Mus musculus: one gene and its partners. The protein of the gene in region 1 interacts with the protein of each later gene in a biochemical or structural test. Links are inferred from orthologs where the notes say so. Each region holds a gene or a part of one and is shown in the gene's direction. Other genes may lie near its edges.

Region 1 (4,481 bases):
TCCTGGTGCTTTTATTTGGTTAGTACAATCTGTGAATTGTTGATGAATGCATCTAGTTAAGTCATAAACTAACATTTGGTGGGAGAAGTGCATATGATCATCCAAGAGCTAAGATTTAATCTCATCTTGTTTGATTTTCGTTTTCTACTATTTTTCCCTTTGCATAAGGGATGCTAACCTTTGCCTGTCCACTGTTGTATTAGAGTATGTGAGCTGCTGTGTGAGTTCTGGAATTGAACTCGGGTTCTCTAGAAGAGCAGATAGTGCTTTTAACCACTGAGCCATCTCTCCAGTCTCACCCAACACTGTGCTGTTCTGGAACTCACTCTGTAGACTAGACTGGCTGGCCTGGAACTCACAGAGATCCTCCTGCCTCTGCTTCATGAGCCCGAGCTCTGGGCTTGAGGCATGTACCTCACTGCTCCAACCCAAGATTCTTAGCAGGGACTTCAGATATTTAAACCAAGATAGAATCTGTCTCTCAACTCCAACTTAATTTATTGATGATGATTTTAATATGAGACCAGTCAACACAATTTTGTAGCCATGCTGCTTTGAGTTCAGGCTGTGCAGAAAGCTAATATATCCAGAGTTACAAAAAACACACACATATTTTTTTTTCCTTTGATACTTTCAGTTTTGCAAGCTATTTTGAAATCTACCCAGTCCCTGCCACAACTACTTGATTCTTGTCATTTTAGCCCCCAAACAGCAATAGGCAGTGTTTACTTGGTGGAGTATAGCTGTGTTTATAAAGATAATTAGCATCGTTTGTTTCCCCTGTGCTGATGAGAGTGGCAGACTTAGTATTCCAGTTGACTATGGAAGAAGAAAGACCATCAAAAAAGATATTTTTGGCTCTGTGGAATGCTCTGAACCCATATCTTAAATATAGGGTTTTCTCTCTGTTGTTTCAGTCTTCATTTAAAAGATAAGAAACATATACTTGTTTTTAGTCACAGAGTGGGAGAGTAGAGCAGAGAGTTCCACATGGGTAACTTTGTACCTTCACCTACCCCTCCCTCCTGTAGCATCTCTGATCCATAGGAGATGCACCCAAAACACTGACTCAGACTCCAGTTTGATAAGGTGGAATTGTGAACAGTTTCACCACTCAGTAACCAATAGTAATCCTTAACCTCATTGTTCTCCCTCAGTTTACCCAACTGGTGCTGTTCAGAGAACAGGGTGTGGCTAGTGATTTCTTCTCTTTCCTGTACCTCCTTTCCTTCTCTTGACCTTGAACTCTTGTCTTTATGATGCTACACTGGAGACTAATTGACAAGCTTTTGGGTATGACCTCATTGCCATAAGTTTGTTATATTAGTGATCTGTAGCCTTTCAGAAAAACAAAACATTTGTATGGAGGCTATAGTGTTTCAAAGAATGCTTAGTTCATCCTTTCTTATGAGCTGAAGAAACTGAAGCCGGGACATATCATCAGTCATACACATCACTTGGCAGCAGAGCCTGGGCTAGCAACCTGGTTTCTTGGCTTTTGACTCAATGCATCTTCAAGCAATTTTTCCACATAGGAGAAAAGACATTGATGTTTTTTTAACCTAAAAAATAATAAACATTATAATAAATGATAAGCTATCATAACACAGTATAAGCAACATGATGGGACTCTTAACTATACTGGGATTATAAAGTATGGTAGGTGCATTTGTTCAGCTCTATTCATGTTCAAAAGTAATTTTGTGTAATTAAAATTAACCATATGAAGCTTTTCTTTAAACATCTGAATAAGAGGTGTATAGAAAATTTGCTCTCACTTGAATACCTAAGATCAGTCTCTAATCTGTTTTTGTTCTTTTGTTCTTAAAAACCTTACAGAAAGATGAGGTCTACCTTAACCTGGTGCTGGACTATGTTCCGGAGACAGTGTACAGAGTCGCCAGACACTATAGTCGAGCCAAGCAGACACTCCCTGTGATCTATGTCAAGGTACGTGACGACGGAACGAACCCCTTCTAGTTTCCAGAACATTTTGTGTGAGCCATGGGTAAGGTTGGGATGTGTCAACCCCATTGACACTGGTTACTCCTTGTAAAAACAGCAAGCTTTAGATTGTGTTGAATTCTTACACAGTTTTATAGCATGGAGTCCTCTTAAGGCTTTCATTACTCTGCAGCGGAAAAAGGTACTTGCTGTGCAAGGCTGATAACCGGGTTCTGTTCCTGGAACCTACTCAGGTAGAAGAGAAGCAGCTGCCTGAAGTTGTCCTTAACCGTCCACGTGTGTGGCTCGTGCCCCTGCACACACATGCTCATGTGATAATTGAATTGAGATAAATCTTCTGATAAAATAGAGTAAAGTTCACTTAAGGATTTGAATTGTGTTAGCCCTTGTGTGTGTGCTGTGGGGAGGTGAAGCTCAGGTGAAGGCCGGAGGCAGACACTGTGCTTTTTTTTCACCTTTCCTTTGAACTGGTCTCTTCCTGACCCCTATATAAGCTTTTAGTTGGGGCTTGTCTCAGTCGCTCTTCCTACCCAGGGCTGGGCTGGCAGCCAAGTGTACCTACTCTCAACTTTGTTCATGGTGCTGGAGATTCAGGGTGGGGTTTTGGTGTTTGTACAGCAAATACTCTTACCAGTGAGACATCTCCCAACCCCATAGCTTTGTTTTCATTTTCGATGTCTTCATTGTGCCACATACCAAAACAAACCACTAAATAAATGTAGAGTTCATTTCATATTCATTTGTAATGCTTTATTACCATTTGTAGATATATTTGTTGCATTCATCGTAGAGATTTAAACTGTCAGTTTTAAACAGATTATATTATTTAGTTTTTGGTATCGAATATTAATTCCCTCTTTTTTTTAAATGTAACTACAGCAGTGTAGCTAGGGATTTATATAGTATAGTCCTAGTTACAGTTGTGGTAGATGATTGGAAGCATATATTTTTCTTTTTAGAGGTGAGATAGGGGAGGGATGGATAGGGTCTTACCCTGTAGTTCAGACCACCCTGGAACTTTTGATACTTGTAGCAGGTCTCCTGCTTCAGCTTCCTGAGTGCTGAGATTATAAGTGTGAATTACCAAATCTAGTTAGAAACATATATTTAATATCTGTGCTGTTAAACTAGGAGTTAGGTTTGTTTTTCTGTTTCTCAATGACAGCAGTCTAATTCCATATTTACCCCGCAGCTGACATGGAGCTGACTTGGAGAGGTCACAATGCTGCCACTTCCAACTCAAAGTCATTTACAGCAGGGGGAGGGAGCATACTGACAGGAATGTGGGCTTCCAAACTCTCTGGGGATCCTGAGTAAATCATCTTAGGGCCATGGAGAGAGGAAGATTATTATTCATGTGGGGTCCTGAATGGGTCCAGACTTTTCCCAGAACAAGATTTAGTCCCTCCTTTTGTCCTTTATGGGTTTTCTAGCAAGTTCTAGCGTCAGGTAGTAGAGCAGACAGCTGTGGAAAGTAATGATACAGAGCTGCCATTCTTTCTTAGAAGTTTATTTTTAATTGAGAAAAATGTTAAAAGGACAAGGTATAAGTGCATAGAGAGTTGAATTTAATTTAATTCCAAAATGCTGACATAAAGATGTTATGTATACATTTTTGTCATGGTTCATTTTGAAGGCTTTAACTTGTGTAGCTTGATTTAAATTAACATTAAACCTGTCTAGTCTTAGCACTTTTCTCACACCTCTGAAGGAAAGTAGCTTTCATGTTAATTTCAGTAGTGTCAGTCCTAAGCAATACAGTCTGAAAAGATGGTGTCTTTGTCAGTACTTCTTCTGTTTTTCCTAATTAGACAAGAGGGTTTTTTATTTCCACCGTATTAACTAGGGAATAGAGCTCAGAAAGTAAGCACGTAGAACAAATTGAAGGTGAATCAGGTGGAGAAGGTGTCACATGTCTATAATCTCAGCACTTTAGAGGATGACAGGATCAGGGTCAGGCTGTATTCGATTAGGAGTCTGTCCTGAGAGAGTAAAAATAAGTAAAGAAGGAAGGAAGGAAGGAAGGAAGGAAGGAAGGAAGGAAGGAAGGAAGGAAGATTGAAGGTTCTTGGTTCCTGTTTCAAAGCTTTAAAACAATCTTTTAAGGTATTATTTCTCTGCTTGCTTTGAAGAAATTCCAGACAAAGCCAGCTCAAGGATGGCTTAATAGTTCTAGGGGATGCTGTGCATCATGGTAGGGCAGGCCTGGTGGGCGAGCATGGGGCCTCTGGCCACGTTCAGAGAGGACACAGTACATGAGCTGCTTTTCTTCTTACTCAGTCAGGTACCTAGCCCATCAAATAATGCAGATGCCCTTACAGACATGCCCAGAATTTGTTTTCTTGGTTATTCTAGGTACTGTCAAGCTGGCAGTTAAGATTTACTACCACAATATTGCCAAGTTAGCTAGGCATCTGTTTGTTTGTTTGTTTGTGGTTTTGAGACAGGATTTTTTTCCTGTGTAACCCTGGCTCTCCTATAACTCACTTTGTAGACTAAATGGGCCTTAAACTCAG
Region 2 (5,213 bases), on another chromosome or scaffold:
CCAGTGAGGGCAGGGCGGGCTTAGGTGTTTTCAGACACTCTTGAGGAAAAGCTTGGCTGAAAAACCCTAGGTGGCAGTCGGCCTAGGAAGGGAGCTTCCTGGGCGTGGAGAGTCACCTGTCACCCGTTAGGGGCTAAGTCACACCTTTCCTAAGCGGCATGCCAGCCAGCATCCATCATTTGACCAAGTTTTACTTTCAGGCCTCTGGCAGGTGTGAGGTTGTGAACAGGCCTCCCCTTGTGGGCTTCATTTGCCTTTCTCTTTCCTTCTTACTAAGCAGGCTTGGGGGAGGCTGAGGGGGTGGAGTGGGGGGCTGCTGAAACAAAGGATGAAAGGGATGAAAGGAAGCCTAGCCAGGTGTGGATCTGGAAGAGAAAACAGGACTGGAGGAAGGCAGGTACCAAGCAAGGCCCCGTGGTAGGAAAGCCTGTTCTCTGATCATAGGGGATGGAGAAAAGTCAAAACCTAGTCAGCTGACTTGTCCGTTGGGACGAGGGTGGTGGTGGGGCGCTGTGTGCTCTCCCTCTGGACTCAGGGAGACTCATGGATGAACTAAATCTACCCAGAGGGCAGTGTTCTCCACGATGGTTGCCTGTTGTCTGACCATCCTCCCACTCCCCCACCCCCCACCCCCAGTGCTGGGAGTCTGATTCTATTCCCTGTTGTTACCTCCAGTGCCTAGAGACTCGATGCTAGCTGGTGCCCCAGAGGTTTCCGTAGACCCTCTGCTTTATAGGTGTTTATAACCCCATACTATGGGGGTGTGGGTTTGGTTTCCGAGGCCACCCTTCCTCCCTGTGAACGTTCCAACACGATTTTCAGGAAGTCGGGAGCCTTAGCCCTGGTCCTTGCTACCTCTGCCTCGCACCTGCCCTTATTGGTGTTTCACAATGCAACTCTAAACACGTCCGTCCTCAGCTGAAAGTCCTTCCGTGACTCCCCAGTGCCTGTAAGGCAAAGTCCAAACTCCTCCAAAGACCCGAGGCCAGGAAATCGGACCCCTCAGGGTCTGCCCAACACCAACCTCATCCTGGAACCTGCTCTCAAAGGTTGGACAGGCAGAAGTTACTGATTCTTACCCCGGGCCTTTCCCCTCGGTGCTTCTTCACTTCCTCTAGGAAGTCATAGACACCCTCCCCTGTCAGGTGACCGTTCATTGACAGTCACAGCTGTCTCTCCCCACCTCCTTTCATCAAATCACACCTCCCTTTAGTATTCGAATCCTCTGTTTATTCTGTCTGTCTCTCTCTCCCACGGCCGGGAAGCCATCCTTGCGTAGGGCATCCCTGGGTAGTGTTTTGTTCAGGGCTGTGTAGACAGTTCCAGGAACCCCTAAGCGCGTGCATATCATCGCACTTTCTGGCTCCCCAGCGCCCAAAGGTCAGCAGCTCGGGGATGTTGCGGGGCACCGCGCTCGTCGTGGGGCAGGCGCGGCCACCAGGGGTCGCCCGAGGAGCTCGGAAGCCGCGCGGTCCGGTCCGGGAGGAGCCCAAGCGGAATCTCAGCGCCACGCGGCGGGAGCCCCAGCAGCCCAGGCGCACCTGCTCCGGTCTCAGTCTCCGGCCGCGCCGCCGCCAGCCATTGGCTCAGCCTTGACAAAGGGGCGTGACCAACAGTACGGTCACGCCCCCAGCCCTGGTACTTAAAGGAATTTGCTGCTGCTAGGGGATCGTAGTGTGCGGCCGGGCCTCGCGAGCGGAGTTGACTACCGACCTTGCGCGACCCGGTGACCCCGACTACCTAGGTCGCTCTGGCCAACATGCCGCGCTCCTTCCTGGTCAGGAAGCCGTCCGACCCCCGCCGGAAGCCCAACTATAGCGAGCTGCAGGACGCGTGTGTGGGTGCGTGGTGGGGTGCGGGACGCGGGCGGCTGGGGGGGATCCCAAGGGTGCTGGGGGGAGGTGAGAATCGGGCTCTGCGGGCGCGACAGGTGGATCTGGAGCTCCGGGTCTTGGCAGTTGGGATCCACCGAGGGTGTCTTTGACCCGGGACGGGGAGGCTCCGGGAGTTGAAGACTCGAAGGCGGGGGTAGCTTTGCGGAGTCCGGGCGGGGGAGGGGAGGGGCGGGCGGGAAGCCCCCCCACCTGGCGCCCCGAGAATCCGCTCAGCTGACTCCCTGCTGTCTCTTCTCTTCCCGCAGAGTTCACCTTCCAGCAGCCCTACGACCAGGCCCACCTGCTGGCCGCCATCCCTCCGCCCGAGGTCCTCAACCCCGCCGCTTCGCTGCCCACCCTCATCTGGGACTCTCTCCTGGTACCCCAAGTGCGGCCGGTTGCCTGGGCCACCCTCCCGCTGCGGGAGAGCCCCAAGGCCGTAGAGCTGACCTCGCTGTCCGATGAGGACAGTGGCAAAAGCTCCCAGCCGCCCAGCCCGCCCTCGCCGGCGCCGTCGTCCTTCTCGTCCACCTCGGCCTCCTCCCTGGAGGCCGAGGCCTTCATCGCCTTCCCTGGCTTGGGCCAACTTCCCAAGCAGCTGGCCAGGCTCTCGGTGGCCAAGGACCCCCAGTCGCGGAAGATCTTCAACTGCAAATATTGTAACAAGGAGTACCTCAGCCTGGGCGCTCTGAAGATGCACATCCGAAGCCACACGCTGCCTTGTGTCTGCACGACCTGTGGAAAGGCCTTCTCTAGGCCCTGGCTGCTTCAGGGCCACGTCCGCACCCACACTGGTGAGTGAGTGTGCATAGCTGAGCTCTGAGTCTGGGCTGTTTGGCCTTAGACCCTGGGGGGACTCAACACTTACTCCTAAGGCTGCCAAGCAGTGGACAAAGTAGATGTTGGTTGTTCTCCATTCTGTACCTTGCTGTTCGAGGCTAGGAGTGAAGAGGTGTTCCCTATCCGGGCTCAACCCACACTGTAGAAGTCAGACAGGATATTGCTAGACAGGATATTCTGCACCTGGCCTTGAATCCTGAGTCGAGAACTTCCCCAGTTTCCTCGTTTCTAAAATGTATCAGAGAACACTTCGTGGGGTCTTTGTAGAGTGAAGTGCTAGGTGCAGGTGCCACTAAGAAATGACTTCCCAGTGACTATGAAGACGGCTCAGTGGTTAGAGCACTGGCTACTCTTCCAGAGGTCCTGAGTTCAATTCCCAGCACACATGGTAGTTCACAACTTAACTAACTGCCTGTTAAGAGTCCAGTTCCAGAGGACCTGACACCCTCATACAGACATACATGCAGGCAACATACCAATCCATGTAGGACAAGAATAGAATAGACACATCTTTTTTTTTTTTTTTTTTTTTTTTTTTTAAGAAGAGAAACAAAGACATGACTTTGCTGTCCTCTCAGCCTTGGGCCACGTGGGAAGCTTCTAGAAGTGAGGGAAGGCTTCAGCCAGGCTTGGTGGGGGTTCCGGTTGGGCTGCTCTTTGGAAAGTGTGTCAGGCTTTGGGGTAGAGCTGTGCGTCTCTTGTGGTGGCCAGCATTGGGGCAGTGAGGCCTGGGGGTGGCAGGGAGGTATTTGCAGGTCTCACTGACACCTTTATTACTTGAATAAGATTACCCGTTTCCCCCCCCCAGGCACGGATTGCCTCAGATTTAACCTATAAAAGTGTAACAGGCTGCCTCTCTCCGGCTGGGTTGCTAAGCTGTGGGGCTCTACTTTGGGGAAGAGCTGAAGCCCTCAGGGTCCTAGGCTGCCTCCGACCACCCCCCACCCCCCAGGGACTTTGTTTTGATGTAAAGGCATGGCTCAGACAAAACCCTCCTTGAAATGCACCACCCAGTTCTCTAGGAGTTCCATTGTGTGTCTTAATGGTAGCCCAGGGGGTGGGGGCCTGCAGGGTTAGAGCAGGTGCACGGGGCAGCGGTGCCCAGCACCTGTTCTTGGCCGCAGCTGCTGGCTCATTGCACGGCAGGCCCCTTTAATCCAGGGGGTATCACATGTACAGTGTCCCCCTTAGTGGCCTTTGTCCCAGCCGGCCTGGTGCCGATTTCACACTTGCCAGGAACACTATGAAGGCGTCTGGGGGTCGGGGATCTGTGAAGAGAGAGAGAGTGTGTGTGTGTGTGGGGGGGGGGGTGTCTACACTTCCTGTGCAAGCCCAGAGACTCCCAGCTCCATCCCACCCTGTGTTATCTTGAAACCTCCCTTTTGTTAAGTACTTCAGTTCGCCTGTCCCTGCTAAACGGACAGGTAGTGGTTAGGCCATTCTAGGGAGGGGGCAACACCCCTTACTTGTAGGGACCCACAGATTGCCAAGGTCCACCACCACCCAGGGCTTTGGAGCCCCACCTGTGTAGCTGAAGACTTGTGTGGGTTTGTGCCCCCTAGGGGGGCTGAAAGCGGCTCTGTTCAGTGAATACCTGCTGAGTGGGTGGATCCCGCAGGATCCCTGCTGAGATTTCCTCTATCCAGAGGCTCAGCACACCCAGGCGCCATTCCTCAGCCCCGAATTCCATCACTAGAATCCAACCAAAGGGCACCGCCTGTGGACTAGCAGGCTGGGAGGGACGGGAGGCTTGCCTTGTTTTGAAAATCCGTTTGGCATTACAGCCTCATGCTTGGCACATAGTAGGGGTGCAGCAGATGTTTGGTTTTGTCGGTATTTGTTAACTCAGCCAGACTGGGTTTAAACCAGAGACCCTCCTCCCTCTGTCTCTACAATGCTGGGTTACAAATATGGACCCCCAGGCTCAGGTCCCCTTTTTTAAAAAGCACATTTATTAATTCAGGTATTCACTGAACAGAGCCGCTTTCAGCCATCCTCGGGGGCACAAACCCACAGAAGTCTTCAGCTACACAGCATGTAATTAAGCACTTACTGGACACAGAGCCCCCGTGTGTCCTTATAGCCCTGGCTGGGCACGGATCCGGTCAGGATCCCAGATGTCTGTAAGCCCCTGGGCTTGCAGTTAGTTAAGGAGAGCTTCCTTACTGCAGAGCGGTGGGCTGCTGGCAGCATGCAGAGGAATGGCCTTGCTGGCTCTGGGTGGGGGTGGGGAGGCCTCTCCAGGCTGCCTCTCAAGCTTTGTCCCAGACAAAGTAAATCAAAGTAAATTCAAGGCTGGTAATAGGAAGTCCAGTCGCAGCTCCCCTGCCTGAGGCAGTGACTACAACCCGGGCTATGGAGGTATGGTGGGTGACCTAGAGCCTGCTGCGTACCTCTGTGCCTCAGTTTCCCCACCTCTAATAGGACTGCAGAAGGGACAGATGACAGGTCAATCAGAAGTGTTCAGTGCCTGCCAGGTGGGAAGGACTTTGTTTCAGT
Region 3 (5,165 bases), on another chromosome or scaffold:
ATTAGAATCTACAGCACAATACAGCCCACTCTTTACTCTCTCAATCACGGTGTTTAATCTTATGGGACTGGGAATTAGTGTGTCCAGTTTAGTAAGCTAAAGAACAGACCTCTGGATGACAAAGCAAGATTGCCCCTCTTCTGATTGCAGAGTCCCGCACATTAAGCTTCACTCAGTCAAATGATGCAGAGCTGAGACGATAGCCTGCCGGGACTGTTTATGACTGAAAAGATCACCCTTGACACGTGTTTCCAGTTGGAATGACAGACTGATGCTAATTTACTTGAACTCTTTACCTTACTGTGTAACATGGGACAGAAATTGAATGAAATGTCTAGTGTTGGGCTAACACGTTCATCTCTGAACTTTAGACCTACCACTTTTAACTGTTTCACTTCGTTTTCACTGGGTTTTGAACACCAGGGACAGCTACCACCCTTATTGTTCCCAAAATGTAATTACAGTAAACTACATGGAGAAAACACACATGCATTCCTCAGCCACAGATGGTAGTACTTTTATTGCTGATATTTTACTACTGTGCCTATCAAAGTATAGCGGAGACATCAACTGCATGAAGTAAGACCCAAGTAAAGAAGACAGGAAGACAATTGGGCAGCTAATCAAACTCACCAGTAACTTCCCCATACTTCAGGCCTATAGGCTCTGGGTTTTGGCTTTGCTACATATTATTCTTTAGAATTCTTCTCAGTTGACCTTCCATGGCAAATCTAATTCTGGCCCCCTTGCAGCCTTATTATGCCTTTATTAGGCAAACATGTTGATTGGAGTTTGTAAAAACTAAAAGCACCTTTTGGTTTATTAAAACACAAAGAAACCTTGCTAGTTAATGCACAAGGCAAAAGCCCAAACTATTTTCCAAAACAAGTCTGCAATTTATGCAGAGAAATCTCTTAACTTTCCCTGAGGTGTATATTCCATATAGACGTGTATTACAGACATTAACAGACATTTCCATTTTACAAAAGATTTAACCTAGTATCTTCTGTCAAATTTCTAGCACCTACTACAAAACTGCAAACATAAAAGCTTTTGAAATAGTCATTTTAAGTGAGTCACTCCCTGAAAGAATTTACATTACAGCCAAAGTAAGTTGACTTCAGTATCTTGGAGATAAAACCTGAATTAATTTGCTCATCTGCTTAGCATGTTATCTGTTGCTGTGGAAACCGGTGTGTGTGTTGGGAGGGGGGAGGGCGGTTGGCGAGGGGAGCGACACTGAACTGGTCACAGGCAAATCTCTACCTAGCTGTCATTTCAGGCAAATTATAATTTGTACAACAAACTTGTGATTCAAACAATGTAACCAACATTCTGATGAAAGACAGTGGTAGGGAAAGAATGCTTGTCATGAAGTCTTCCAGGGGGCTCTGGGGCTGAATTCCTGAGGTTCTTTTTCCAGTTGTGCTTAGTGTAGGCCCCAGAAGGGGCTCAGTGAAAATATTTTAGCTCAGAGGCGCACATTTAAAGAGAGCAAGGACAGATTCTTCATAGAGACTGCATCTCCTTTCAACTTCCGTCTCCTGGGTGGAGACCTTGCGGGTTCAGGCACCTGCAATTTCCGCCCTTTTCCTCCCCCCCCCCCCTTTCCGGGCGGAGGAGCCTCGCTCCTCCTCCAGCTAGAGCCCTAGGAACGGCCACGCTCCCTAACCTTGCTTCCAGGACCTAAAAGGGTCGGTCACTCTCTTACAATGCGCTAATTAGGAACAATGTGTCTCCCAATGAAAGCTCTACAGAGGGTAAAGTGCAGCCCACGACAACAGTTCGGTGTGTTCTAGCCTGTTTCCCCGCCTCGCCCCACGTCAGGCTTCTACGATCACGTCCAACCCGCTAGCCCAACCCTTTCCCCGCTCCTCCCAGCGACCACCCATTGTCCCCGCGGCTGTCACGGTGTGGACGCCGAGCTCGCGACTGGAAAGGCAGGGCGTCATTCAGCCTCGCGCTTTTCCCAGCCTTAAAAGGTCTAAGGCCGCTTCCTGCAGCCAGAAGGTAAAGCGGGCCGCCCGAGGGAGCAGCCGCGCCCGGGCCTCCCTGCCCCGGCGTTGGCGGAGCCGCTGCCCTACTCTCGGCTTCTGATCACAATGCCCTGGCAGTAGAGCTGCCTTCACCCTGCCCCGCAACCCGCCCACCGCCATTACCGGCGCAGAGAGAGGGCGGCCGAGCGGGAAGGGGGTGGGGGGGAACGCGAAGGTCCCGGATGTGCCCGCCAGTGAGGTGGGGGCGGGGAGAGGCTTCCTTCCGCGGGCCGCAGGGGCGGGGAGGGAGGGCAGCTCGCGGGGGCGGCGGGGAGCGAACCGAGCACGCGGGTGAAGGCAGGGTCGGGAGCGGAGCGGAGCGCGAGTACGCGCTCTCCTCCGCTCGCCCTCGGGCACGGGCGGGCCGGCCGGGCGCGCGCAGGGGAGCGGCGGTTGCGCCGGGCCGGAGAACTGTGGGCACCAATCAACGGTTGCCATAGCAGCGTTTGACGTCATCGTGCGTGTGGTGCCCCTGCTGCCGGGGCTAGTGATTGGAGGAAACCCCGTGTCTGCGGAGCGGCTGTAGCCTGTGAGCAGCCAGATCAGGGACAGAGTCTCAGCCTCGCCGCCACCGCTGCTGCCGCCGCCGCCCAGAGACCGCCGAGCCGCGTCCGTGTGCCGCCACCCACTCCGGACACAGGTGAGGAGCCGCCCGAGTCGGCCTCCGGTCCCTTCAGCCCGCCGCCGCGCTGCGGCCCGAGAGGGGTCTTCTCAGGAGGACCCGGGCGGCGGCTCGGCTCTGCCGGGCCCGGGCAGGCGCCCACCGCCGCCCCCGGCCGCTTGCTTCTGGCCTGCCGGGCTGCTCATCGCCCCGTTCTGGTCCCCGGGGTGGGGGTGGCGGATGAGGCGCCCACGCGCGAGACCCAGGGGCTCCCGCTCCCGAGGGCGACCGCGATCCGCCCCCGCCGGCACCCTGCTTCCGCCCGCGACTGTGACTCGGCCGTGGCGCAGGTGAGGCCGCCCCCACCCGGGGCGCCCCCGCCACCCCCTCCCCCACGGCGGGGGGCAGCCAGGTAGCACGCGGGGCTCTGGGGTGGGGCCCGCCAGGGACCCTGGGCTGGGCTCGCTGGGGCCCGCAATGCCAGAAAGGACTCTCGGGACGCGCGGTGGGGGAGGGGCGCGGCCAGAGCTAGGCGTGGGGGTACCGGGGCACGGGGTCCCCAGCGTCCTGGGCTGGTGGGAGGTTCGCATCTTTCCAGGAGCTGCGGCCCCAGGATGGGGGCTGCGCCTGTCTGGGTGGGGCCCTGCCCCTCCCCCTACCGCAGCTGTCGGGACATCGGGGCTTGGGTCGGACACCGGCGGAGGGGACCCTGGGCGGGAGCGGGGTGTGTCCGGCGCGGGCCGGCCGCGGTTCCGCTTCTGCGGGCGCGGATGGCATCGGGCCCCCGGGGAGGGTGATCTGCTCCCCCTCCACCACCACCCTCCGACTGGGGCGGGTGCACGGACTGCTCCTCCCTCTGCCCGGGTGGGGGGGCGATTCACAGTCGGAGTAGGTTGGGCTCCTTGACACAGTTCCGCCATGACAAAGAGAGTCGGGGACTAGCGCGGAGGCACCAGCCTGGGCGGAGCCAAGGAGGGGAGGTGGCTGCGGATGGCGCGGACGCAAGGACTAGCGCTTTAAAGTCACCGCTGCGCGGTTTCGGTTCGCCCCACCCTCCGGCCTCAGGCAGCCAAGGGTTAAGTGGGTGCGGCGAGTATTCCCGCAGTCTGAAGGCGAGGCCCAGGAGCGCTCGTTTTCCTGTGAGAAACCTAATCCACTTCCCCTTATCCGGGAGGTTGGCGGGGGAACGTTTGTACTGACTTAGGCTTACATCATTTTTGGAAGCAACATTTACCAGTGACCGTTTCTAATGTTAGATTTCGAGACCCCGGGGGAAGTATGGGTTCACAAATTTTAAATAGTTAATGCACGGAAGGTACTGTGTCTCGAATTTAAGCTAGCCCTATCCGTGTTTCTGTTCTGGACACTGCTCATTTGGCTACCAAAAAGAGGTCCTTTCTGGAAAGGTAAAGGAAAGAATTTCCATGGTGGGCGGCAGTGACTCTTTATTCCTACACTTAGTGCATTCAGGTTGTGACTTTTCATTAAAGTGTATTTTGTGGGATCACTATATGATTTAGAATTTTGCTCTTGGAATTGTTGAAGAAATGAGAAGTAAATTGGAATCTAGGGAACTTTAAAATTGAGCGAAAGAAAACTGGGGAAATATGAGGAAGACCAGCTTGAGGAGTTGTGACTGCTAGAAATCCTGCCGTGACTCCAGACTGCAGCAGGCAGCAGACATCGGAAGCGCTTGGCTCCCTCCATGTGCTGTGGACGCCCTAGTGCTCACTCAGAGTAGGAAGTGAGTGTGCCTGTGTGCTAGGCGAGAGTTCATAGGACGCTGTTTAGACACAGATTGGTCTTGGGCTTAGTGATTCCTGGTGGTATTGTGTTTAAGATAGTTTAAGCAGCAATTAGGCAGTTTTCTTCAGATAATTTTATACCATGATCAGCTGGCAAATGTTACAAGTGTAGTAGATCAGGGTGGGAGGGTGCTAAATAAAATAAAACTTAGTGGCTCTTTGATAAGAGTATATACATTAAAAAGCTAGAATATAATTACACTGACATGACTCACGATTCTGGAAGTATGCTTATAGGCATTGTAGGTCCCGGTCCCTAAACTGACCCGCACCCCCAATGCGCATTCCTGCATGCACACTAGAGGGAAAGTTGCTCAGGTGTACATCATTTAGTGTCGTTGGGATCTAGGGATCTTTGGCCAAGGAGAGTAGAGGTGGGTCTCTGGTTTTGTACCCCCTGCCCTGCAGCTTAAAGGTGGGTTTTTTTTTGTTTTGTTTGTTTGTTTTGGGTTTTTTTTTTTTAAGGAACTGGTGTCCATATATGCTTTGATCTTACTTGAAATTGGAATCTTCTGAACAGGTGGAACGCGCAGTTAATTTCACAACCTACTGTTAATATGCAGACTAGGCTAGTTTTCTGGTTGGTTGGGGTTGGGGGCTGCCTTTTAATTGCTCAAGCTGGTTTGAGGTACTGGTGTGCCTTATTTATTTATTTACTTATGACAGGTATGAGTATGTATTTTTCACAGGCGTTTTCTGAATGTTTTTCTTCTTCCCTTTACA

The links. The genes of interacting proteins can lie anywhere in the genome.
Region 2: of the proteins of Gsk3b (region 1) and Snai1, one has a biochemical effect on the other in vitro, tested with the Homo sapiens proteins (2 studies listed by BioGRID). The link is inferred for Mus musculus from reciprocal best matches to the Homo sapiens genes GSK3B and SNAI1.
Region 3: the proteins of Gsk3b (region 1) and Ywhaz form a complex in vitro, tested with the Homo sapiens proteins (2 studies listed by BioGRID). The link is inferred for Mus musculus from reciprocal best matches to the Homo sapiens genes GSK3B and YWHAZ.

What each region holds. Positions count from the first base shown.
Region 1 is NC_000082.6:38,182,596-38,187,076, forward strand, and holds part of Gsk3b (glycogen synthase kinase-3 beta), read left to right. Parts: intron 1-1,839; coding exon 1,840-1,950; intron 1,951-4,481. UniProt on the Homo sapiens protein: Constitutively active protein kinase that acts as a negative regulator in the hormonal control of glucose homeostasis, Wnt signaling and regulation of transcription factors and microtubules, by phosphorylating and inactivating glycogen synthase (GYS1 or GYS2), EIF2B, CTNNB1/beta-catenin, APC, AXIN1, DPYSL2/CRMP2, JUN, NFATC1/NFATC, MAPT/TAU and MACF1.
Region 2 is NC_000068.7:167,536,531-167,541,743, forward strand, and holds the start of Snai1 (zinc finger protein SNAI1), read left to right. Parts: upstream 1-1,664; 5' UTR 1,665-1,759; coding exon 1,760-1,841; intron 1,842-2,140; coding exon 2,141-2,668; intron 2,669-5,213. UniProt on the Homo sapiens protein: Involved in induction of the epithelial to mesenchymal transition (EMT), formation and maintenance of embryonic mesoderm, growth arrest, survival and cell migration.
Region 3 is NC_000081.6:36,790,990-36,796,154, reverse strand, and holds the start of Ywhaz (14-3-3 protein zeta/delta), read left to right. Parts: upstream 1-1,616; 5' UTR 1,617-2,010; exon of another isoform or gene 2,011-2,235; intron 2,236-2,476; exon of another isoform or gene 2,477-2,479; 5' UTR 2,480-2,676; intron 2,677-5,165.